4 linked regions of the Caenorhabditis elegans genome follow. The protein of the gene in region 4 purifies or fractionates together with the protein of the main gene of each other region. This does not show direct contact. Each region holds a gene or a part of one and is shown on either strand. Other genes may lie near its edges.

The links.
Region 1: the proteins of unc-94 (region 4) and F01F1.11 fractionate together in Caenorhabditis elegans (co-fractionation; one large-scale study listed by BioGRID). This does not show direct contact.
Region 2: the proteins of unc-94 (region 4) and plc-3 fractionate together in Caenorhabditis elegans (co-fractionation; one large-scale study listed by BioGRID). This does not show direct contact.
Region 3: the proteins of unc-94 (region 4) and csn-3 fractionate together in Caenorhabditis elegans (co-fractionation; one large-scale study listed by BioGRID). This does not show direct contact.

The regions. Positions count from the first base shown.
Region 1 is NC_003281.10:5,869,160-5,873,689, reverse strand, and holds F01F1.11 (PAP-associated domain-containing protein), read left to right. Parts: upstream 1-1,812; 5' UTR 1,813-1,845; coding exon 1,846-1,864; intron 1,865-1,916; coding exon 1,917-2,099; intron 2,100-2,146; coding exon 2,147-2,382; intron 2,383-2,433; coding exon 2,434-2,598; intron 2,599-2,646; coding exon 2,647-2,854; intron 2,855-3,146; coding exon 3,147-3,330; intron 3,331-3,373; coding exon 3,374-3,544; intron 3,545-3,874; coding exon 3,875-3,926; 3' UTR 3,927-4,005; downstream 4,006-4,530. Other genes in the region: F01F1.3 (MIF4G domain-containing protein), read right to left, coding at 121-248, 297-424, 566-635; F01F1.15 (DUF3456 domain-containing protein), read left to right, coding at 4,162-4,243, 4,291-4,490.
Region 2 is NC_003280.10:10,220,895-10,228,902, forward strand, and holds the start of plc-3 (1-phosphatidylinositol 4,5-bisphosphate phosphodiesterase gamma plc-3), read left to right. Parts: upstream 1-1,982; 5' UTR 1,983-1,983; coding exon 1,984-2,279; intron 2,280-2,327; coding exon 2,328-2,512; intron 2,513-2,564; coding exon 2,565-2,715; intron 2,716-2,761; coding exon 2,762-3,235; intron 3,236-3,287; coding exon 3,288-3,373; intron 3,374-3,424; coding exon 3,425-3,793; intron 3,794-3,868; coding exon 3,869-4,297; intron 4,298-4,394; coding exon 4,395-5,093; intron 5,094-5,123; exon of another isoform or gene 5,124-5,148; coding exon of another isoform or gene 5,149-5,342; intron 5,343-5,386; coding exon of another isoform or gene 5,387-5,866; intron 5,867-5,911; coding exon of another isoform or gene 5,912-6,236; intron 6,237-6,370; coding exon 6,371-6,511; intron 6,512-6,801; coding exon 6,802-7,440; intron 7,441-7,503; coding exon 7,504-7,796; intron 7,797-7,838; coding exon 7,839-8,008. Other genes in the region: srh-135 (Serpentine Receptor, class H), read right to left, coding at 5,149-5,342, 5,387-5,866, 5,912-6,236. UniProt on the Caenorhabditis elegans protein: Mediates the production of the second messenger molecules diacylglycerol (DAG) and inositol 1,4,5-trisphosphate (IP3) which plays an important role in the regulation of intracellular signaling cascades.
Region 3 is NC_003282.8:192,934-197,756, forward strand, and holds the start of csn-3 (COP9 signalosome complex subunit 3), read left to right. Parts: upstream 1-1,808; 5' UTR 1,809-1,844; coding exon 1,845-1,851; intron 1,852-1,907; coding exon 1,908-2,033; intron 2,034-3,906; coding exon 3,907-4,176; intron 4,177-4,823. Other genes in the region: intk-1 (INTaKe), read left to right, coding at 1-383, 961-1,131. UniProt on the Caenorhabditis elegans protein: Component of the COP9 signalosome complex (CSN), a complex involved in various cellular and developmental processes.
Region 4 is NC_003279.8:5,993,273-6,001,125, forward strand, and holds the start of unc-94 (Tropomodulin), read right to left. Parts: upstream 6,026-7,853; 5' UTR 5,879-6,025; coding exon 5,823-5,878; intron 5,532-5,822; coding exon 5,438-5,531; intron 5,393-5,437; coding exon of another isoform or gene 5,384-5,392; coding exon 5,306-5,383; intron 2,945-5,305; coding exon 2,623-2,944; intron 2,542-2,622; coding exon 2,379-2,541; intron 2,172-2,378; coding exon 2,105-2,171; intron 2,051-2,104; coding exon 1,955-2,050; intron 1,790-1,954; coding exon 1,646-1,789; intron 923-1,645; coding exon 775-922; intron 67-774; coding exon 29-66; 3' UTR 1-28. UniProt on the Caenorhabditis elegans protein: Acts as the pointed end capping protein which maintains the length and dynamics of the actin filament. Blocks the elongation and depolymerization of the actin filaments at the pointed end.

The sequences.
Region 1 (4,530 bases), on a different chromosome or scaffold from region 4:
ACAATACCTCAACATGATATATCATATGATATCAAAATTGCGTGTCTGACTACAAGAAACATTCGAAAATTGGAATAAAACGATAGTTTCTTTCGAAAAAAAAAATTGGAAATTGCTTACGAAAAAAGTGTCTTCACACAATTCCTGAACATAAGTCGAGAATCGTTTCGAACTGAAAGCCGGTTACGGTAGTCGTTGAGTAGTAGAGCCAACACATTTGAGGATAATGAAATGTCTTTTGGATCGGACTGGAATTTTAATTTGTGGTTTTTGAGGTTACCGTAGTACAGAACTACCTTATGGATGTGCATTAGTATATTTGCAGCAACTGGTCCAAAGCGTCCATCCGAAAGCCATCGGAGCCTCATGTGTTCGGCGAGAACTTCTGTAGAATGTTGACCAGCAAGCATACTGTAGGCTTGCACTGAAACTCGAATTTTTAAAATTGTGGGTCCCGCGACGATCCACATCACTTTTCACTAAATAACGGGATCAAGGCGTGAGCAGGCACATTTGCCTGATTCTACATACAAAGAACGATTTCGAATTTTCTTAAATAGCTCACCTGGAATTGGTCCTTGTTGTGTGAGAGTTGCAAGAGATGCAAATAGGCTCCGTAGTTTATCATCGTTCATTTCGTGATTATTGATTTAAAAAAAATGTCTGAAAATTTTCAATTTCTGAAATTTCCGATTAACTTAATAATTCTCAAATATTGCCGAGTTAGCCAATTTTTTTTAATTGACGATCAGGGTTCTAGAGCAAGCGAAATATTTCAGCTACAGTACCCGCGAGTACTGTAGAATTTCATTCTTCTTACAGAAAGTTGTTTCCTATTTGACAGTTTTCATATTTCCTGATATATAATAAGACTTCTCAGTAATTTAAGTTTTTCTAACAAGTTTTCAAAAAATTGTGGGAACTGGTTGAATACTTACAGATACTGTATACTAAAATTTTTAGCTCGTGTCAGGACCCAAAAAACTAATTTTTTCTACTAAAAATTGTACAAAATAACCGGGTCAAATCGAAAGACGAATGGCTCGAGCTGAATGACGCAAGAGATTTGAAAATGAGGTGAAAAGTGTCACCAGAGACAATTGGGTGCTTCATGCTCAACTTTCAAGATTTTTTATCTCTTTCGAAAATGCATGATGGCAAAGTTCAGAAGGCAGAGCAAGCAGCATCACACACTCAAAAAATGAAAAACAGAGGAAAAGTGACGGCTGTTTCGAATTACACAACACATGTGGCGAACAGAGAGCTCTGGAGAGCATAGAAGAGGCTCAAAACACATGAACATAGCAATATAATAGACAATTAAAATATTGGAATTTTCATGAATTATATACATATGTATTTTTCAGATGGGTCTCGGCGCGCAAAAGTTTATGGTAGACTTTTTAGAATTTTCACGTCTGCTTTTTTGTTCATTTGCCTTGCGTTTTTCAATGATATTAATTGTTTTTTAGCGAATCATGTCATATTCTTTTCATTTTTCTATCCTAGAGTTTGTAAATATGTTGTTTTATAAAAACACCAACGCTGTTTTCGGTTCATGCATACTTGCATAGGACAAAAATTGCTTGATTGTTTATAAACATAATTATTTTTATTAGCTTTCTCGTGTGGAAATGTGAAACTTCAAGAAAATTCTATTTTGCGGCTGGAAAGGGAGGAAAATTTTTGTGCGGCAAATTAAATTCAAATTTAGCGCGCAAAAAGGTGTTGGACTTTTCTCGGCCGTGCACTCCTCTCGGACAACGTTTCTCTGGTCTCTCTCGGTTTGTCTCTATTCTCTATTTTCCTTTTATTATTTTTTTTCAAGAAATTTACCACAAAAATATGAATAACTCAAATAGAAGTAAGTTTAAAAATAATAATTTTATTCAAAAATTAAAAAATGTTCTTTATAGTAATTCCGTTTGCTTTCAAAAGCTCTGAACACGGCTCATACGAAGATGAGATGATGGAAATGGAAGACGTAGTCGATGTAGAGGACTATATGGGCGGAGAAAAATATGATTCTTATAATGATGCAAAAGAAGATATTAAAGATTTTAAGACGACTCAAAGAATGAAAAAAATCCATCGAATGGGTAAAAAAATTATCAATAAAATATTAAAAGTTCAATTATTGTTTCAGAAAAAATTGAGCAAAACATTGCCTCAGAGAAAATCGATATAATCGAGCTTGGAACACGTGTGATGGTGTCGACATCGGATAAAACGCTCAATGAAGCTTCATTGGAGAGAACCATCCGTTGCGGAATATCTGAAGCCACATTTCTCGGAGATATTTCTATGGAATCGCTGGTAGAAGGTATGGTGAATCCATCGGCGGCTGATGGAAGGTTTGCAATGCTTGGAACGTCTATTATGGTCAGAATTCTGATAGCCCGGAATTCAAAATTCCATTTTTTGATTTTTCAGCTAAATGCGCTAAAGTCAAACATTAAAGACCTGAGAGGAACAATTGTAGGACAGACGACCAACACAAATTCAGAGTCAAAATTCGATAAAATCGATTTAAGTCTAATGAATCTCTCGCATTGCCAACAAACTTCTTACAATATTCGAGCAACAGGTGTATTCTCTGTGAGTTTTTTTTTGTTTCAGCTTCTATGAAAAAATGCCAAATTTTAGAATGCCGATCTTCAATATGTGTTCAGTTTGCTGACGTTCCGCAGAAACGCAAAACTTCTCAACAAAACCAAGCAGTTTATAAAAGCATATTTTTGTGTTGCGTGCCGTCCGAGATGCATGATCTGGAGATATACTTTAAGAAGAGCTGGAAATAGTCAAAGAAGAGCCATTCTTAACTTACCATCCGCCATTGTTTCAACTATTACTCGTAAGTTTTAAATAAAAAAAGAGAATCCATGGGCTTTTTCCAATATTTGGAAACAATTTTCGTTTTTTCAAAAAATAGTTTTAAATGTTGACCTTTTTTCCTTTTTAGATGGCAATTATATGTTTTTCCTTAATAATATTGATTGATAACAGTATAAGCCTAATTTGATTTAAACAAAACATTTTTTTGTTGTAAAATTGCTAAACTTTTTTTTTGATTTTCTCAGAAAAAAAATCCATAAAAAATTTCAATGATACCCTTGCCAATAATCAATTTTTATTGTTTTTTCCAGAGTTTCTGCTCGATTTGACAGGAATTAGCGATGCAAACATCCCATACGATCAGCTCGATCCAATGACACCACTATCAATTTCACTTGGAGAAGATGAATCAATGCGTGTTCAACGATATGAAGAAGCTTGTCGATTGAAGGATCCATTGACGAGATTCTTTCGAGATGCAATTACAGATTGCTTGTAAGTGCCTGAATCCTTGAAAATACATTGAATTAAATTTCAGAAATGAGCTCCGAGAGATGCCGTTTTGCCTGAACACGGGCATTCTGTTGAGCCCGTTGCGTGGTCGAGAACAAGGAACTTCTTGTGTTACATGGAAAGATTATGAAGGATTTTTGAAAAGAGAACACGATCTGCCTTCCGAAGCGAATATGAAGAAGCGAACGCAGTTTGAGTAAGTTTAAAAAATAATTTCGATTTTAAAATCCTTAAAATTTGCATTCAGTTATAAGTGTAATTTTTTTTTGGAAAAAGCGTAAAATTTGAAAATCAATTATATTTTCAGTTACCGACAGGATAACAGAATTTTTCTCTATTTTCGCTCCCTTTTTTTCGAAAAATACCAAAAATAAAATTTCATTGCTGCTCGCTGTTGCGGAGCGTTCTTTAGTTTTTCACTACAGTACTACTTTTGAAAAAATTGTACGTGACGAGGCCGGGTAACATATCTTTGAGACGAGATTTCAGAGTTCATATCTGAATAGTATTAAAATTAAATTTCCAGACAACGGCTCTGCGACATTATTCCACGTGTACGTCGACCGGTTCCCAATTGAAAAAATGTTTAACTTATCAATTTTCGATCTCTTGAATACGTTGTTTCCAATCAACTTTAATGAATAATATTCATGTTTTATTCGTGAAGAAAAGTACCATTTACACAAACACTGGATACCTATCCAAACACCGTTCTTTTTCTTTTCTTTCTGCCACTCTCCCAATCATTGTTTGCTCTCTCTCTCTCTCCGCTTCACTTGGTCATTATCGACGCTTTTTAACCATTTATTCAGAATGCATTTTGTTTCTACACTGGTTTGTCTCATATCACTGTCGGGTATTCAATCTGCATCGGTTTCTTCATTAGAGTGTGGAGGTTGATAGATTTTTCTAAAATATATTTTTAAATATTGAAAATTTCAGCCTGCTCCCTCCTCGTAACCCATTTCGAGCTGAAAATCGCCGCAGTCGACCCGAAAAAGAAAATCGAAGTTGGAAGTTTCCGAGTTTCACCAACTGGAGATCAAAAAGGGCTCAAGGAAATCGGCTATGCTCGTTCAGAATCTCATTTGACAGAAATCATTGAGCACGCTTGTGATGATGCGAAACACTATAAACTTGTGGTAAGAACCATAAATTGTATAGATTTTTACAAATTTCTCT
Region 2 (8,008 bases), on a different chromosome or scaffold from region 4:
AAACCTCTTCATTTTCTTTTATCTATCATATTTCACCTATGTTCTATACACCCATTCACCCCCATTTTATGTATGTGAAAAAATGAAAATTTGCATCTGAATTCAGAATATTTTTGTCGTTTTTTATAAGCATTCCTTTTAGGTGTCAATTTTAACATCTCCAAGGAAAATGGTTTCGAGTTTTTTAAAAATTTATATTTAGAAAGTCTGATAACAATACTTTATTTTAGGATTAATGTTAAGATCCGAAATTTTTTCATAAATGTATGGCTTCTTCCGCAAATGCAAAACAATTGACACGACTCTAAAAGTTTTCTTTTTTTTCTGTGATTTATATGTGATGTAATTTTTCTGTGACTTTGTTGCATATACATATGTAGAGTTTAAAATAATTTTCTAAAAAATCAATCTTGACAATTTTTCACTTATATGTCTAAAATTTTTTTGTAAATTTAATTGGGTAAGTTTATCTATGATACTATAATTTTTAAAAAATCGGGTTACAATAAAATGTATCACAGCTTTCGTTTTTCATTAGCAAATACTTTGGAATAGTTATAGAAAACTTTTAAATGATCATAAATGTCTTCAAAGTAAATAAATACAAATATTGAAGCGTCTTCATTCCAATGGAATGAACAAATTGAAAATCCGATAAAGATTTAATTGAAAAATATTGGAAATGCTCCTCTTCTTCTTTTTCACATTCACATCGTCCATTTCTCTTCAATCAACCAAAGCGATTCGAATTTTGTTGAAACAATATTCTTTTGCTCTTTCTCTTTCTCTTCCAGTTTCCAGCCCTTTTCATTCAATTCTCTTTTCTATGTGTGAAGCACCAAAAGCACAAAACTCGAGGAGCATTTTTCTTTATCAAAAAGGAATTGTGAAAATTTCCCAATTTAGTCTGAATTATTTTTCCACACACCGTTATCGAATTGTGCTCCTCGCCGTGGCTAGTATGACGTTATCATACTGTCATTAGGTCATATGTATTATATTTCACACTTTTACTTTATTGTGCTCCTTTTTTCTTGAAATGTCATTCTTTTTTCTTGCAGTTGTAGAATTTCCGGAAACTTTTTTTTCTGAAAATATAGGAATAGGGAGTTGATTGGGTTATTGGAGCTCGAATTAAACTGAGGGTAAATAAGTTTTTAGGAAATAATTTTGAAGGGCTGTGGTGCTTTTGTCAAAATATACGCGATTTTTTAAAAACCAAATATGAAAAAAAAAATTTCAGTCACGGTTTTGGCAAATTTTCAAAATTTTGAAAAGTGTGATTAGTTGAGATATTTCAACTATCCTTGCACATTTGAGCCAATCTTTAGCACAAAGAATTAAAGCATAAAACACATTTTTGCCGGCTTTCAAAATTTTGATAGATAAATAGTAATTGTTATAGAAACTTCTTTTGCCAATTTTGCAGAAAACTTTCATAATCTCCAATCGCAATTTTCTTGTTGAAAACCTATTCATTCCTCTAATAGAAACTACATTTTTAAAACTTATTTATAAATTAATTGGAAAAATTCACAAATATCCAGGCAAATAAGACATCTTGTTTAAAAAAATGTAATATCTTTCAATATTACTTGAAGCCTTCCCAGCCGCTTCTTGTGAATTTTCTAAAAATTTCTAAGCGAACTATTTTAAAAAATTAGATTTTTGATCAAGTTCTTGTTTTATATTCTTTGATTTTTTTTTCAAACGGGAAAGTATGATTGATAGTTTTTTTACCGGAAAAATACAACAATTTTTGATAAGAGATTATTCATTTTAACAACTGAATTGCATTTCACTAGTTGAATAAAATAACTTTTGTTATGAGAAATTGAAGAAACACCACATTTTCGTAATTGCTTATAAGTTTTAAATTAATTTCTAAATCAGAAATTCTTTCAATCGTTCTTTTGCAAGGAAGACCGTTAAAATTTTCTTTTTTATGTGCATCCAATTTCATAAATCCTTCAATTTCTCAGCATGCAACACGGCTCACTTGGCCCATCATCGTCGTCTCGAAAGACTACAGTAACCAGCACAGCGGGCTCCGTTCACCTTCATCACCGCTCTTCAAATGGTTTCTCGACAGCATCACGAGCTCAATTGAACCGTCACAATGAAATGGATTTTGGGAAAATGTTTGCGGCAATGGAGAAAGGTCACAAAGTGTGCAAAATTGCGGTGTTGAAGAAATGGGATCCAGCCTATAAACAATTAACGTTGGATCGGTACTCGAGGCAGATTTTTCTGACAAAATTGGAACTGTCAGCTGTTAGGTAAGAGGATAAGTAACATCGCATGAAATTCATTTACATTTTTTTCAGAAATAAACCGACAATTCTAGATATTCGACAAATCCGTGAAGTACAGACATTGAATTACAAATTGAACACAATTAAAGTAGATGATAAATGGAAAAAGGATCGAGAAATCGTAAATTTTGATTCAAAAGCCATTCTAATCATCTCATATGGAATGGGATTTGCTCTTTCCTATTGGATTCTTTTGTGTGAGTTTTTGTTAAAATAATTATTCAATAGTTTGAAAGAAAAATGTTATAGTTGAAAGTGAGGATGCGTGCAAATTATGGTCACAAGGACTTCATAATTTGATGATGGACACAAGAGATCGAGACTCATCCCCTCATCCATTGAGAATTGAACGATTTCTGCATAAACACTTTTTGAGTTTAATGTCACCGGCTAATGATGCGTAAGTTCAAAAATTGCAGAATTTTTTAATAATAACAATTTTCCAGCGTTGCTCGAAAGCATATGAAACCATTTGTTCAAACCTCCCTCCAATTCAAAGTTCAATCTGATCAGCTCCAACAAGTGACAGAAGATCAAATGAATTCTGATCAATTCAGTTTTGCCAGTCGTCAACTTATCCATGTACCTGAACTCTTCTCTTCAAGATTCGCTGATCTTGCTGAAAAACATGAACGAAAAGGTCTTGTGGTGACGTTTCAAAATTTTTTGCGATTTCTTGATGGCAAACAATTCGATGAACTTGCCTCGAATCGAACGAGAGCTTTGGAGTTTTTGAATCGATATTTTCAAGAAGATCAAGCATATTTTGGAGATAGAAATGAGCCTTCAATGACTGTTTTCGAGTTTTGTGATTTTTTATTTTCAAGGGAGAATTCGCTGTGGGACCCAACAAATGAGAAAGTTACTCATGATATGAGCAGACCATTGTCTCATTATTGGATTGCCAGCTCGCATAATACGTTTGTTTTTTTTTTGGTCTATATAAGTGCTAAACCAGTAATTTAATTCCAGATACTTGACGGGTGACCAACTTCGATCTGAATCTTCTTTGGATTGTTATGCTCAAGCTCTTTTGATGGGTTGTAGATGCATTGAGTGTAAGTTTTAGAGACAATTTTCACTGTTTTATAAATAATTTTATTTTTCAGTAGATTGCTGGGATGGACAGAAGAAGCCCGGGTCAGCCGAGTTCATTGATATTGTCATCTATCACGGGTATACGATGACCTCAAAAATTTTGCTCCGCGACGTGCTTCACGTCATCCGTCACTATGCATTTGTTACGAGTGAATATCCAGTAATTCTATCAATTGAGGACAACTGCTCGGTGCCAGCTCAACGGCTTCTAGCTCAAGAACTGAAAGATATTCTTGGTGATTATTTATTGACACAACCAGCAAATCGTGAAGAAAAACAATTGCCCTCCCCGGCCGCGTTGAAGAAGAAAATTATCGTGAAGCATAAGAAGTTGCCGATAGAAAGCGAGGATTTGGCAGCTGTGGTGAAAACTGATGAGTGTAAGTTTTATGAAATTACTCTAGTTTCCTAGTAGTAAAGGTATAAATCATTTTGCTAAATGATTTTTGTTTCAGTCCAAGACACGGAAATCATATCTCGCGAATGTGTAAAGAAGGGGATCCTGATGGTAAAAAACAACAACAGTCACGAATGGACATCTCATGTTTTCATATTATTCCCTGATCGTCTTTGCTACCTGATTCAAACCGCTGATCCTGAAAATCCAAATGACGATACAGTGAGTGTAAGTGGAGATGAAGAACGGGAAGAAGAGACGCCTTCTGGATTTGGAGTGAAACCTGAAGAAATGCATGTGACTGAAGAATGGTTCCATGGAAGATGTGAACGGGATGAAGCGAAAAAACGGATTCTAGAGCATAAGGAGAAGGGAAATGGATTGTTTATGATTCGAGATTCGAATCTGTTCATTGGAGATTTCTCACTTTCGATTCTACATGACGGGAAAGTTCATCATGTTCGGATAAGATCCAAGATTATTGATAGTGAGTTTTTCTATGTTTTGCATGTAACATGTATTCGAGAATTACAGTAAATAGAAGAGAAACTTTTAATAAAATTTTCAACTTTTCAATTTTTCAGAAGAGAAAAAATATTACTTCATGGATAACAAAGTCTGCGACACTCTTTACGAGTTGGTCTCTTACTACACCCGTCACTACCTCACAACTGCTCATTTCAAAATGGTGCTCACGATTCCATGTCCTCAACCACAACCGCATCTTAATCAGCCATGGTTCTCTGCTACTGCTGACAAGGAAAAAGCCGAAGAACTTTTGAGCTTGGTGCCAGAAGATGGTGCTTTCCTAATTCGGACGTCATCGACTGACTCTTCAGTTTACGTTCTTTCGCTAAAAGTCGACGGCGAATTCTGGCATTATCGATTGAAAAGAGATGGAAGAATTTTCGTGGTGAATCAAAAAGTATTCGAGAATTTGAATCAAATTGTTGAATTCTATGCGAATCGAGAATTTGTTAGAGGAATTAGTCTTCGATTCCCTGTCAATGAGAAGGATATATCACACCTGACAGCTGAACTTGCAGAAGCTCGTACTCCAGGTTGCTATATGGATCTGAAGGATTTGGATAAAGAAGTTCAAGCTCGAGCACTTCGACCGTATCGAGGAACAGCTGATGATGAACTTTCGTTCCCAGCGAATGTTATTATCACAGTACTCCGGAAGGAAGAAGGTCTTTGGAGAGGAAGATATGGATCGTTGACTGGATGGTTCCCTTCGGCCCATGTACAAGAGATTCTACCAGAGAAAGTTTCAACTTCAGGTTAGTTTGAAAAAATTAATGTAAACAGTTTATCTCATAAAATAGCAAGTTTAAATTAAGTAGTCACTATCAAAAAGGGAACTGAATTTCGTGTGGGCTCACTATTATTATTTGTATTCTTTTGAAATAGTTTAGAAGCTGCCAATATATTTAGTGTAGCATCACGATATGGTTTATGCACAATGAGCATCACAATAGTTGAAATCAAACCATGAAGAGATAGCAAGCATAAAGAAATATTAGTTTGAGCTGTAATGAATATAGTAACTAGATTATAGTTTTAAAAGTGTTACCTTGATTATGATACTCCAGAGAAACTTGAATAATTACAAATAGAAATGGAATAAACATTAGTAAAACAGGAATAGTAACTTGAATACAAATTGCTCGAAATAGTCTCTTTTGTAAATTTCTAGTCCTTTCTGATTTTCTATCATCTTTTCCACTTAAATTCATCAAAAGTCGAATGACAAAATAAATAATCTGCCCTTCAATCAATGAACTAGTGATAATAACTGAATAGTGAGTTACACGGACATCCAGAGCTAACACAAAAAATCGATTTTCATCGACTTCACATGGAAATTGTTCCTTAACTATTTTGATAGCTTCCGACTGATTTGGAATACGTAAAATAGTTGGAATGACAAAAGTGAACGCCAGTAAATAGTTGAAAATAAAGAACAGAGCTCGTCTGACTTTTCGACTAGAAAACTCGAAAATAATGGTGTTATAGCGGTTCTCGAAAATGTGAAGAATTGCTACACCGGTTACTGAAATGATAAAATATAAAGTTCCAAATTTCCTGCAAAACTTACAAACAATTACAGTCAACATAACATAAATTTGAAATGGAATATTCACATCCAAATAACCCAGCAATCCCATGGGAAACCCTGACATTGACGGTAAAAGTATAAATGGAGCAACAAATAATCCCATAAATAAATCCATTAAAGTACTCCAAAAATGCAAATTAAATATGACCAATTTGACAAGATTCATTTGATTCGGGGTTTTGCACAAAATACAGTACCCTCCGAATATGTAAATTGGAATTCCAACAGCCGATATTATGTGTAGACTTATTTGTAAAAACTTGGGAGAATGAAAGAATGATAGAGTGGGACAAGAAGCTTGCATTCGATAGAAATTTGAGTTTTAGTCAGATCTGAAAAGAAGAAAAATAAAGTATCATCCCTTCTATGCTTCAATGATTTTTTAAAAATTTGATTATTCTATCAGAGTAAAGTGAAATCAAACATCAAAGTTTTCAGAAACTAGCAACTACAACACAATCGAGCTAGCTGGAACACTAATTGAACGGATTCATGATGCTGATCGTCCGAATGTTATCAGAATATCACAATCAAATCAACATTGGATGAACAAGCAATATTATTTGTTGGCTGCTTCTTGTAAGTTGTTCTTCGAACTGAAATTCTGGGGTTTACAATTTCGACAGGCTACAAATTGTGTTGATATGGCCCGAAAGAAAATAGAAACTCTTTAAAAAAATTTCAAACATTATTTAAATTAAATTTGGAAATTTTGTGACAATTGAAAGCGTACCTGAATCTACAAACTACTACAAAAATTTATTTAAAAAAAATTCAAAACGGAGAAGAAAAAAAAAACAAATTAGATTCACTTTACGCAAATATTTTTCAACCTGGATCCCAACTTAACTTAAACTATAATTTTCCAGCCTCCGAGGAAGCAGATGGTTGGCAAAACAATCTCTTCGAGCTGACTCGTTCAGTTAACACAAAAATGAGCATACTCCGAACCAAAGAAAAAGAAAAACGAATTGCCGCTGAGCTCTCAAATCTAGTCGTCTACTGTCAAGCTGTTCCATTCGACCCAGCCCATATCTACAATGACGCTTTCTATGAAATGTGCTCATTTGTCGAGGGAAAACTTGACAAACTGGTTGAAAAGGGGCTTCTTCCGTTTAATTCCCGAAAACTCTCGAGGGTCTATCCGAACGGAAGTCGAATCACATCGAATAATTATAGTCCGGTTCCAATGTGGAATGCAGGATGTCATATGGTTGCACTAAACTATCAAACCGGTGATAAACCCATGCAGTTGAATCAAGGAAAGTTTTTGGCAAATGGAAGATGCGGGTACCTACTGAAACCAGATTATATGTTAACTGATGACTTCGATCCTACGAACACGGAAAAGTTTGCAACAGCTTATCCCATTCGACTGAATGTTCAAGTGATTGGAGGACGTCATTTGTCAAGAAAAGATAAGAATAAAGGAATATGCTCCCCATTTGTGGAAATTGAAATTATTGGAATGCCATGTGACACAAAAGTTTTTCAAACTAAAACTATAGGTAATTTTTAATATTTTTTTTCCTTTTTAAAAATAAGTTTCTAAATTTCAATTAAAATTTCAGCATCAAACGGTCTTAATCCGATCTGGAATCAAACTTTCACATTTGAGATCCAGTGTCCCGAAGTAGCACTGATCAGATTCCACGTGGAAGACGGTGACTTTGTGGGACCAAAAACAGATCCGTTCATTGGTCAAGCAGTATTCCCTGTTGATTCAATTAGATGTGGATTCCGATCAGTTCCACTCAAAAATCAGTACAGTGAGGAGCTTGAGCTCTCTTCACTGTTAGTTGATGTACAAATGTGCTCCAGAGAAGGAACTCAATTGATCAGGTCGTCGTCGCATTTCTTGCAGGTTAGTGCCCAGTTGAAAAAATTTTATTAAAGGTTTCTTCAGGCGAGTCGTCTGGCTCCTGTCTTCGCTCACCGTAAGATCACAAATGGCGATAGTATCCCTCGTGAGATGGCACCTCGGTTACGAACATCAGCCACCGATCGTTCACTAGACTCTCCAACAAATTCCGAGTCAAGAGCCACTCTTCTGAGCGGCCAACGAGGTAGCCAAGA
Region 3 (4,823 bases), on a different chromosome or scaffold from region 4:
GTCCCGAGAAGCTTATAAGCCCGGAATCCGAGGAAAAATGGTTTGAATCGAGAACTCTGGACGAGAAAGTGCTCGGACACGAAGGAGACGCAGATATGTACGAATGGGATCCAAATACAATGACAGAGACTCTTGTTCGGGAGCCTCCATCGCCTCTGGAGCCCAGTAGTATGATATTCGAGGAGAAAGGAATGCTGAAACTACTGGAAGATTTTCGAAATGGTGAGCTCCGATGGCTAGATGCTCCACAGATTTCTGCGTTGGGAAAAGTGAAAGAAGCGCATGAAGATGTGTCGAATATTCATTTACAAGTTTATGAAATTGAGTCGGCTAGGAGGAAAAAGAGAAAACAAGCGAGGAGTGTCAAGGAGAATTTTGAATTTGTAAGGAAAAATTCGGATTTCCATAAAAAAGGGATTAATTTGTGCAATTTTACGAAGAAATCGGGATTTTTGGAATGTAAAAAGCTCAATGTGATCTAGAAAATGTGTTTTTGGCAGGATTTTCCTTTTTTTTTAAATCCGATTTTCAGTCTATTTTCTAGCTAAACGACTCCGAAGATCTCTCAAAAAACTAACAAAAAATGCGACAGACGCCAGTTTTTTAATCTGAAAAAAAGCAGAAAGTCCCAAAAAACGGTCCCAGGAATCACAAAATATCTGTTTTGTGATATTTAGCGCTGCAAAAAATAAAAAAAACTCGCTGAATGCAATATTCCAATAGCTTTTTACCTTTAAAAAACTCAAATTTTCATTAAAATCATCAAAATTCTGAGAGCCTCACCCATAAATCCTTAGCCTCACCCAAAAATCATGAGAGCCTCAACCAAAAATCCTGGGCCTCAATCAAAATTCCGGAGAGCCTCACCCAAAAATCCAGAAAGCCTCAACCAAAAATCCAGAGAGCCTCAACTAAAAATCCAAAAATACTAGAATATACTAAAATTCCCCATATTTTCAGTCGGATTCGGATGATTCAGAAGAAGAACGAGAAATCGAACGATTATTCGAATCGATGAATACTCATATGATTGACATGCATTCTGCACTCGATACCGTACCATTTTACGACGCTTCTCAAAATCAACGCACTGAAAAAATCGATAACGACGAGGAGTATTTTTCGTCTTGAATCGATCATGTTTCCTGAATTTTTCACGCATTTTCTAATTTGAAAATTCTATAATTTTGACCCAAATTTCTTCGTTTCCAGCTAATATTTGCATTTTTTTAGGGCATTTCTCACAGTTTTTCTCGAAAAATCCCCGTATTGTCGATTTTTTTTTCGAAATTTTTCCGAGCAGGAAAATATTGTGAATTTCACCTGTTTTGAGGCACCACGGATTCAAGATCAGCTGGGATTTTGGATCTAAAATTTCCGAAATTGGCACCGTGCCAACGAATAAAACGCTATTTTTCTCGAAGAAAAGCGTGACAACGATGCTCCGATGTTACGCGTCGCGTGTTGTTTAGCGTATTTTCTATAAGTAATTTTCAAAAAAACAGCGTTTTATGCCTGACACGGTGCTTTTTCGGTGATATTTGAACTGAAATACCCTAAAATTTTCGTGATTCCCTCTATTTTCTAGCAAAGTTTTCTCTTTTCCCCAAATTTTACCCATTTTTCACTAATTTCTCGGTATTTTCCTGTACAAGCTCGATTTTTACTCAATTTCTATATTTTTCTCGGTTTCTTCTCTAAATTTTCTCACCAATCGCCATTCCCTGTGCAATTTTCTCTTATTTTTTCGTATATCTTCTCTTACTCGTTTCTTGTCACACATTTTCACGATAAAATGTAAATATTTTCAGATATCACAGGAAAATCCCATTCACAAAAGGATCATGACAAGTAAGTTTATTATTTAACCTGTAAATTTTCTAAAAAAATCGGAAAAGCTTTTTCAGCTTTTTTCAATAAGCTCTTCACGGGAGCCTCATCATCATCGTCTGCAGCAGCTTCTTCTGGAATGGATCTTGGTAGTATGGAGTCATTGTGTGCTGCGATCAATGAGCTTTGCAGTGAAAAACATGGTAATTTGGAGGGTTTTGTTGGAAAAAGAAGAAAATTAGTGATTTTCTCAATTTTTCAACTTGAAAATGTATTTATTCGCTGAAATTTTCGGGAAATTTGAATGATTTCATTCAAAAACCCATCGAAATTCTCGTAGAAGTTCGTGAAAAATTGATGAATATCATCTGAAAAGGGATCGAATTCCGAAAAAAAAGAGCCAAATTTTGCTGACATCTGAAATTTTTTCTTTGTCCCCAGTTTTCTTTGTCGCAGCCACTGGAATTTTACTTTTCTGAAATTATCACTCTTTAATCTAAGTTTTATTAGTTTATCTTGTGTAAATTCATTGATTGAGACAATTTTAAACCGTGAGGCATCCAATTTTTATCATTTTTGGATGTCTCTTCGCTTAAAAATTGTCTCAATCAATGAATTTACACAAGATAAATTACCAAAATGTGAATTAAAAGTGATAATTTCAGAAAAGTTGAATTACAGTCTCTGCGACAAAGAAAACTGGGCAAAATTTCTGATTTTTGCACTAATATGCCTTTTTTAATTTTGACCTCAACCAAAAAATCATGGTAGCCTCAACCAAAAATCATGGTAGCCTCAACCAAAATTCCGGAGAGCCTCACCCAAAAATCCAGAAAGCCTCAACCAAAAATCCTTAGCCTCAACCAAAAATCCTGAGCCTCAACCAAAAAATCATGGTAGCCTCAACCAAAAATCCTGAACCTCAACCAAAAATCCTGAACCTCAATCAAAAATCCTGAGCCTCAACCAAAAATCATGGTAGCCTCAACCAAAAATCCTGAGCCTCAATCAAAAATCCTTAGCCTCAACCAAAAATCCTTAGCCTCAACCAAAAATCATGGTAGCCTCAACGAAATATCCTGAGCCTCAACCAAAAATCCTGAGCCTCAACCAAAAATTCTTAGCCTCAACCAAAAATCATGGTAGCCTCAACCAAAAATCCTGAGCCTCAATCAAAAATCCTGAGCCTCAATCAAAAATCATGGTAGCCTCAACCAAAAATCCTGAGCCTCAATCAAAAATCCTTAGCCTCAACCAAAAATCATGGTAGCCTCAACGAAATATCCTGAGCCTCAACCAAAAATCCTGAGAGCCTCAACCAAAAATCCTGGTAGCCTCAACCAAAAATCCTGAGCCTCAACCAAAAATTCTTAGCCTCAACCAAAAATCATGGTAGCCTCAACCAAAAATCCTGAGTCTCAACCAAAAATCCTGAGAGTCTCAACCAAAAATCATGGTAGCCTCAACGAAATATCCTGAGCCTCAACCAAAAATCCTGAGAGCCTCAACCAAAAATCCTGAGCCTCAATCAAAAATCCTGAGCCTCAACCAAAAATCATGGTAGCCTCAACCAAAAATCCTGAGCCTCAATCAAAAATCCTTAGCCTCAACCAAAAATCCTGGTAGCCTCAACCAAAAATCCTGAGCCTCAATCAAAAATCCTGAGCCTCAATCAAAAATCATGGTAGCCTCAACCAAAAATCCTGAGCCTCAATCAAAAATCCTTAGCCTCAACCAAAAATCCTGGTAGCCTCAACCAAAAATCCTGAGCCTCAATCAAAAATCCTTAGCCTCAACCAAAAATCATGGTAGCCTCAACGAAATATCCTGATCCTCACCCAAAAATCCTAAGCCTCAACCAAAAATCCATACAAAATTGTTGAAAATTTTTTGTTTCATTATTAAATTCGGTGGTTTTGGACCAGTTGTAGTCTATTTAAGCAGAATACCCACAAACTGTAATCCCGCTTTAAAATAAATTTATTAAAAAATTTGTTTTATTTAAAAAAAAATTCAATTTAAGGATACCGTCAAGCCTATTTTTTCCAGAATTCCGCATTAATTTCCCGTATTTAGTTTCAGAGAATGTTGGTGAACTGGCCGCTGGAATTGTTCGTAAGAATAAAGAGCTTTTCGAAAAGAAATCGAACGATGTTGAAGCATTTTTGCTTCATTGTAGTCCAAATGTTGGTTCAGCTGCAATGGTTGCTGCAATTAAAGGAATGTTTGATACGTCGGCTGCAAAAAATAATGAAACTGGAACAGATCGAGCTGTTGAGCTTCTCAATCATTATGTTGATGAGAATAATTTTGTTGGAGGACATTTGAAGCTTGTACCTGAAATTAGTGAGTTTCTAGATAAAATTGAGAAGAAAAACTGGAAAATATGGATGATTTACATGGAATTTATGCGAAAAATCTAGATTTAAAGAGAAAAATGCAGCTTCACTTCGCCGAATTTTCCGTTTTTTTTTAAAGCAGAAAGTCAAAGACGTCGGATTTCAAAGGAAAATAAAAATAAAAACTTGAATTTAGAGAAAAGCTAGGCAAAAATAGAAAACTTAACTGAAAATTTCTCCTTCTTCCTATAATTCTTCCTAAATTTTATTTTTTTTTTCTCAATTTCCCTCAAAAATCTATAAATTTCAGACTGAAAATTAAAAAACTAAGAACTTCCTAATTTTTCGTCCTCAAAAAAATTCGAAAATCCGAATTTTTCCACAGAAAAAAGTTGTCTGAAAATGCATTCTTTAGTGAAAAAATGACAAATTTTAACGATTTTCTTGTAAAAAGTCACTTTTCCATAGATTTTTTTTTCACTTTTTGAATGGAGCAATTGAAAAATCTTTCAAGAAAAATTGAAAAATATTGGCAAATAAGCTCGAATTTAAAGAAAAACTAGGCAAAAATTGAAAATTTAACTGAAAATTTGATTTTTTTTTAACTTTTAAAATGTAATTTTTTCCAATTTCCCTCTAAAAAAAATTTTTTTT
Region 4 (7,853 bases):
TATTCTAGATTTGGATACGTCACGACATTCAGACATTCGGATCTTTTCCCAATCGACGCAGACGTACTGTAAAATATTAATTTATTGATACTGTACGGTGAGTATTTTATCTTTCGTATTACTGCCAAAACATAACTGTCACTCAAGAAAAGCATTTTGCAAGCCCGCGGCGCGGTTTGATATATGTCGAATTACGGAAGATACTCCACACGGACAAGTGATTTTTTTTTCGGCATTTAAAAATTTTTTGACTACTTCTCTCTTTTTGAACTACTTTTTAAAACGTTTTTTATATTTAAAATTAAACAATTAAAGGTAAAGAATAAATTGACAGACCGGTAATACTTATTTTAAATTTTCAAAATCTTTTCTTTAAGTATTTTTATACATTTTAAATTAATCAATATTTCTTTAAAATCCCTCAATTTTAGTTCTCGTTCTTTTTTCTTTTCCGAGGTCAGGTGTCACACATTTTCAATTTTTCCCCAAGCGGCTTCCCCCTCTAGCGAAAAGTTTAAAGTCAGCCGAATATGAAGGAGGCGACTGATAAAAACAGCTGATTTTTCTATGATTTTGTCGAAAAAAAAATAGAACAGACGTACATTGAGTGGTGACGTAAAGGAAGAACACTTTGGAGAAAAGCACAAAGGTCAAAATTATTAAAATTTAGTTTTTTTCGGTTTCGGATCCACAGTCCAACTCATATTTGAGTTTTTTTTTTAAATGAAATACAGTCAAATTACGATCAGGATATATTTTTATAAAATAACAAACCTCTTTCATAATTCCTTTCCAATGCTTCTGAAACTCGATGTCTTGCTTCCATTGAAGCAAATGAAATTCCCACTCGAAGCAGTGATTCATTTTCTTCAATTGCCATCATCATATCCATTTCTACTTGATTTCCGAGCACAGATTGCCGCTGAAAATGTTTTGTAAATAGACTTGAAAAGCACGAGTTTTTATTTTGTTTTTATTATCGTTTCGCCAAAAAAAAATCTGAATTGTCTTAAATATTTCAAAATTTTGTTAAAATGTCATAGTTTTAGCAAAATGGAAAATGTTTTTAAAAAATGAAACTTTTGCAAAATCTATAGCATTCTTGCTATGTAAATAAATAAGAAGTGACTAAAATTGGAGAATCGTAGAAAATTTGTTTTTTTTAAGTCGATTTCCAAAATTATAAAAGGAAAAAAGGAATCATTGGACCATAAATATACTTTTTTTTAATTGTTTCAACTTATTTTTTATTGGATCATTTTAGCACCACATGAAATAATTGTCAAACATTTCCTAGACTCTTCCCTCAACTATATTGTTCCTGTGTTTCGTATGATTTAACGCGAAACGTGTAAAAATCTCATATGACACCACGGCGAGCACTTGTTAGGTAAACAAGTTGAAAGAGAAACAAAAAAAAGAAAAAGAGTGATGTTCTAAATATAAGCACAGAAGTGTTTTGTTTATTTTGTAGATCACAACAAAATAAATAAATACGTACGACTACAGTAACCAGATAGTGTTTTCTAGAGTACTGTAGAAAATCGGATTTCAAAAACTTGATGCGAATGGGTAGCAAAACTTGAATAAAATTAGAATTTACCCAAATTGAAAATTTTTCAAAGATAAAAAAAACAACAAATACCTGATTATCTGCTTTAAATTCAACAATTGATTGTGTCACAAGTGTTGATCGCAGCAATCGAGCCAATAATTCAGGAGTCAGGAAATTGGATTCAACATTCAGAACACGAAGGGATGGTGATGTTTCGATAAGCTCAATGAGTCCCTGGAAAATATGAGAATTCGTTTTTTTTTATCAGATGACAAATACTATTTTAGAAAAAAATTAAAATGTTCAAGATTGCTATGGAATTGAGAAATTATTTCACAAATCAATGCAATATCTTTCAACTCGATAAATTTTTAAAAAATTTTGTTTTAAAAAACTCACTCTCGCTTCAGAATCCGAAATCGCTGTGTTGGCCAATGAAAACTTTTCAATATGTTTACTGTTGCATGCCGCCTCGATCAGTGATCGAATACGTTCCTGAAGTTTGGATATTTTTTCAAATTTCTGATTTGGAAAAAATATCTAACAAACCTTCGACACTCGTTTCATATTGTTAATATTAACCTCCTTCAAGTCTGTATCGTCTTCTCGTAACCGGCTGAAAGTTGGAAACATAGTTTAGAAATGTTTAGAACTTGAAAATTTTTCAAGAGAAAGTCCAGGGAACCAGAGATTTGAAATATTTCAGGGCAAAACAAAAACGTGGTTTTTTTTTAAATTTTTTAAGCTGATTATTAACGCGAATTGAACAATAAAATCTATTTTTTAAATTCGTTTTTTCCTATTAAAACATTTAAAAACTCACTTAATACATGATTCAACATCAGTATCATTATCAGGCTCATCGGGAACAATACGTGGAACATATGATTGCATAATTCCATTAAATGTCGTTCCTGTCGACTCATCTTGTGTTTTTCCTTTTAGTGCATTATAATATTGTGGTTGATTGAGCACATTGTGCATACCTGTAATTAATTAATTAATAGGAAATTTAAGATTATTTCAAAAAGAAAAAACGTAATATTAAAATTAAATCTTAAACAAACCCAAAATTCCAGCCAAATCAACGAGATCCTTTTCAGGGGCAGTTACAAGAGCACACTCGAGCTCTTCTTCATCATCATCCAAATCAATTTCAATTGGCATCTCCATTTTACCATTTTCAGGTTCTTCTGAATTCCGTCCACTATCACTATCATACACTTTTCCACGTTTTTGTCCAGGCGTATAGGGGCACACATCTTCCCAATCTTTTTCGGTTTTAGCCTTATCTTCCAGGAATTTTAGTAAATTATCTCGTTTGTAAGGTCCCGTTGGTTCTTTGTCTGTTTGATCACGACAACGTTGGGAAGGAGGAAGCATTGAATTCTGGAAATTGAGAATTTACATTTTATTTTAAATAACAAATTTTATTTTTCCTGGCGCTCTGATTTGGGAAAATATTTTCTATGTTTCATAGACATTTTATTCGTTTTAGTTAGAACTTTTTTGATAAATAAATAACTCATTTTGACTACATTTTTCCGATTTTTGAAAAAGGACACATTTTGATTAAATTTTTTTCTGAAACAAAAACACCTTTTGAATGAAAATTATTCAACGACACCCTGGATTCTGATTAAAATTATGAAAAAATCTTAAAAGTTTTATTTCAATAATTATAGCATAGAATGCACTTTGATTGACCCTTCAGAATTAATTTGAATTATATCATTTCAGAATACCCTTGATCACTGTTATAGTGAAACAATTTTTGAACTTTCAGACACCTTAAGGCTCTCGCACTTTGTGATCATTGTCATCACCTTCCTTCTCCAAACAATTGGACAAAGTTCACAACTCTTACTTTTGCCTTGTTAACCAATTCCCCCTTCCAAACAAATGTGCTGCCCAACTTTTCTTCTCGTTCATCTTCTAAACGAAAGTTAAACAGCAATCCCAATGGTGGGGGTGGTCTCTCTTCAAGGTTTCCGCAAATAAAATTGTGTGTTTGTAAGTGTATCTGTCTTTATGTGTATGTGTACAAGTGTAGGAGATGAGGAAAGGAGGAAGGACATAAATTTGCGATCGGTTTTTTTTATATTCATTGGATCACAATGCATGTGCACAATGTGCAGTGTTTTAGTGGTAATAATCTGATGGAAAGTTGAAGGAAGTGGTTTTTTGACGAATCTAGTATTATAGTCAAGAGCTTGCGATAGATCAACTGACCGTGAGCATCTCTTTGGTTGAGACTATCACAAGACTTTTTGTGTGCACTTTTTGTGAACCTGGATCACGAAGAGCAGAGAATGAGCAAAGCTTTTAAAAATCATAGGTTACTGTAGTAATGCCAAAAGTTTGTTAATTGGTTCAAGGTAGACAATCCAAAAGCGAAAAAAAAGAACAAAAAACTACAAACATCCATAGGTTCTCATTCTAAATTATATTGTACTCTAGGGTCGATCTCATCATGAGAAATTAACTTTTCATCAAAACCACTACTAAGAAAAATTGAAAATTTGCGCCATCATTAGGTTTTCCCCAATTTTTATTTCATTAGGATGTCAACTTTCATCGTCCATGCAATATCCCTCTGCTCACTCTATCTTTCCATGCTCCAGTGGAAAAAAACATCGGAGAAGCACAGAGGAACAACCGAGACACTCTCCCGAGAGGTCTTTTCCATCTTTAACCCAATAGAGAAGAGAATCAGAGAAGCGGATCTTCTCTCTCGGGCGGTACATCCTCATCGAGTGAGACTACCAACATCGTAGAGACTCAGATTATCCATATTCCCGGGAATCGAGTGTGTGGAGATGACGAGTTGAACAGAGAGGGAGAAGCTTTAGAGAGTGTGAGATAAAAGTGTACACGTATGTGGACACTAGAGACAAGTCTCATGTGATAGAGCTGGAGAGGAAAAGAAAAATTGATCACACGTATGATTATTGATTGATTTATGTTTTGTTAATTTTAATCTAAACATGGAAAAAGCACAGAAGAGAAACATCAAGCTGTGGTCTGGAAATTGCTAAACTGAAATAAGATCGTGTCAAACGTTCAGAAAAAATCTCACTACGGCCTTAATTACAGACTTGAAATAGGTAAAAAACACCCTATGACATTTCTTTCGAAAACCCTACCAGCCTCTACAAAAATATTTAAAACTTGTGAAATCACATTGGAACTTTTTCAGCTTCTGTTATTCAAAATCTATGTATTTCAAAACATATATTCTTGACAAATCTTTTTTCTGTTTTATCATATTTCCTTCCAATTAAACATACGCCCTTCTACCGTACCTCAAGTGCCATTTTGCGTCATTCTGACTAACCGAAAAAATAAACAGAAAAACCTGCTGATCAATGCGCACCTTCTAAGGCATTTTTCACAAAGCTATTATTTACTTTAACACTGAGTTGCACAATTCAGGTATCTATAATTCAAATAGCTAAAGTTTAAATAACGATAATTTGAAAACTAGGGGAAGCGGCTTTTTGGTCAAATTAATACATAAAGTAGGCAAAACTTAGCATGAAGAGCATTCTAGAGCTTCACAATAAATGTTCAAACTTATCTTCAAATTCAAAAATAGTAAATTTTTATGTTAATGTTTTTTAAAGCTTTTGCAAAAATTTTAGAATTTCAAAAAATTAGCTAGCTAACTGGCCTTGTTCTATATATAATTTATATAATTTGACTCTTTTAAAATTTTTGAAAATTTGAAATTATCGGGAAAAAACTCACATCAGGATCAAAATCATTGTTGAGATCCTCCAATTCATCAATCGATAAACTTGAAAGAAGGCCTTCAATATCATTATCCTCCAAATCCTGAATTAGTTTCCAGAGTTCTTCGTTTTTCAAAAATTTCCTTACTTTTAATCCTTTATTGTAGACTTTTGAAGGTAGTTGAGTTCCCTGTTGACTATTCGCTGACGGTGCTGAGAAGGTCTTCTCTTCAGAATAGTAACTGAAAAATTATAGTTTTAACTTGACCTGCTTCAATGAATTTTTAATTGCTTACTACAAATAATTTTTAGTCTTTTTCATTTTTTGTAGTTTTAACAAATAATTATTTCGTCACATGTGAAATTATTTCTTAAATTCGATTATCAGAGATTTTTCCGATTTGCTTCACAATTTTTTAATAATATTTTTCAATTTTACATTCAATTTTTACCAATAAGTTCTAAAACTATCAGAAATTTCGGGTGTTCCTTAGTGCTTAGAGCTTATAAATTATTCCATTTTTTACACTAACCTATGATAAATTCGTGATCTAGGAAACATGGGTGGTGGAGGCTCCATGTTACTCATAATTTCAGACAATAATTTTCAGAAAAAAAATTCAGAAAATAATAGTCTTGAATAAAAATTTGAAGCCGGCGAAAGATGGCGCAGCTGACTGAGAATGGGAAAGTGTCCCCCCGTGTGCGCACTTGAAAAGGCGAGATAGTACAGAGAGTGATGGAGAGTGACGAGACAGTGAAACAACCAAAAAGAGGCGTGTTTTTTCTGCGTCTTCTACAAGACTGTACGTCTCTCGTGAATCGAAATATCTGCGTCTCTCACATTTATTTGTTATTTGTCGTTTTGTGTTGGCTCTGACCGAAATAAGTGTAAATATCTTTGCTATCAAATGGAATTTTTTTTTCCAAGTTTTTTGTTGGTTTGAGGAAAGAAGAATAAAAAAGTTTTTGAATTTGTTTAAAAGATTGTCCAATGTTGACTGACCGATTGGATGACAGTTCGTAACAGAAAGTAAATGAACACGAAACAATTTACTTTTCAGATTTTTTAAAGGAAACCTCGGAGGAATTTCAAACGAAACTTCAAATTTTTAAAATTTTCTTTAAAAAATATTAATTTTTCTCCAAAAATGAAAAAGGAAACAATAAACAAATGTTTGAAACCATGATTTTTGTACTTATTGGTCTCGTTCCTCAAAAAAGTTGTATATTGGCTCTTCGAACTTGAAATAAACGTTTTAAAAAATTTTAAGTCACTTTTCATCGCTCAGGTTGATTTTAGGATGTTTTGTGAACCTGAACAACTTGAGTGTTTTCAGAAATATGTTCTGAAGACAAAGTGTGAAAATTTTTAGATGAAATACTTTTCAGAATGTTTGCCTTATAACTTTTTAAAACATCAAGAAATTGCAAAAACCTATTTTGAAGCTGCTTTACGGAGCTCCAAAAAACATTTTTTAAATAAAACAATTTCAGATTTACTATTTTTCAGCTCTAAGAGCTCCTCTCTTTTTTGTAGGAACGTATTTTTCAAGCAAAATTCCAGATGACATAGTTTTTTAAATAATTTAAAAAAAAACACTTTTGTGTGGAAAAGAAGCTCAGAGTGCTCAATTTTTGATCTTGCTCGAACCTTATTTTCATTTTGAAATACTAAAACTGTTTTCTTTTTCAAAACTGTTCGGTAGATCATTTCCAAAATCTAAATTTCTCACTGAATAAGTGCTGCTTGTGATAATATATCTCATGTGCCCTTGTCTTCGAAAATTGAGAGTAAAGGGGTCAGCTGTCCGGAGCACACTCACACATACACACATAGAAGCTTCGTGTATCACATTCCTACTGCATTTTCGCCGTTTTTTTTTTCTCGAGTTTTTCTTAGCGACAACGAAGAGTCTTAAAATGACAAGCGAACTGGAGAAATAAAAAGAGAAAAGGAAGGATATGATATGTGTGTGTGATAAGTGCTTGTGGTCTGACACCAATTTGAACTTTTCGGACATTTAAAATCTACAGGTCATGGGTCTCAAATTTCTGATGGTTTGAGCAATGAATATTTTAAATTTTCAGAATTCATAGAATACTTCAAATGTTGATTTTGAATCTTTTTCGATTGTTATAGAATAACAAATTTTTAACATTTTTACTAAATTTAAAGAAATCATAACTTACTCAGTTTTAGCCTGACTCATCGCTGATGGCGGTTGCACAACAATCGGTGATGGTGGTTCGCGAGGCGTTAAGCCGAGTCGAGGTGCTCCAATCGCAGACGTCAGTTTGATTAGTGATGGTGAGCTTCAGCGACTGAAACTCTTGATTTTTACAGAAATTCTCCCGAAATCGGGGCGTATTAGTCAGAATAATAGTTTAGTAGAGTAAAATGAGAATAAAATAAATAGTATTATAGTAAAACCGCAATCACTTCAAATTTTTTTGGGCGTTGTTTAGTAACAAATCAGATGAGGGACGAAGTTGAGTTGTGGATATATATTCTGCTCAGGCTTTCCACGACGAAATGCTCCGTGAGCTGGGGAGTATCTAAG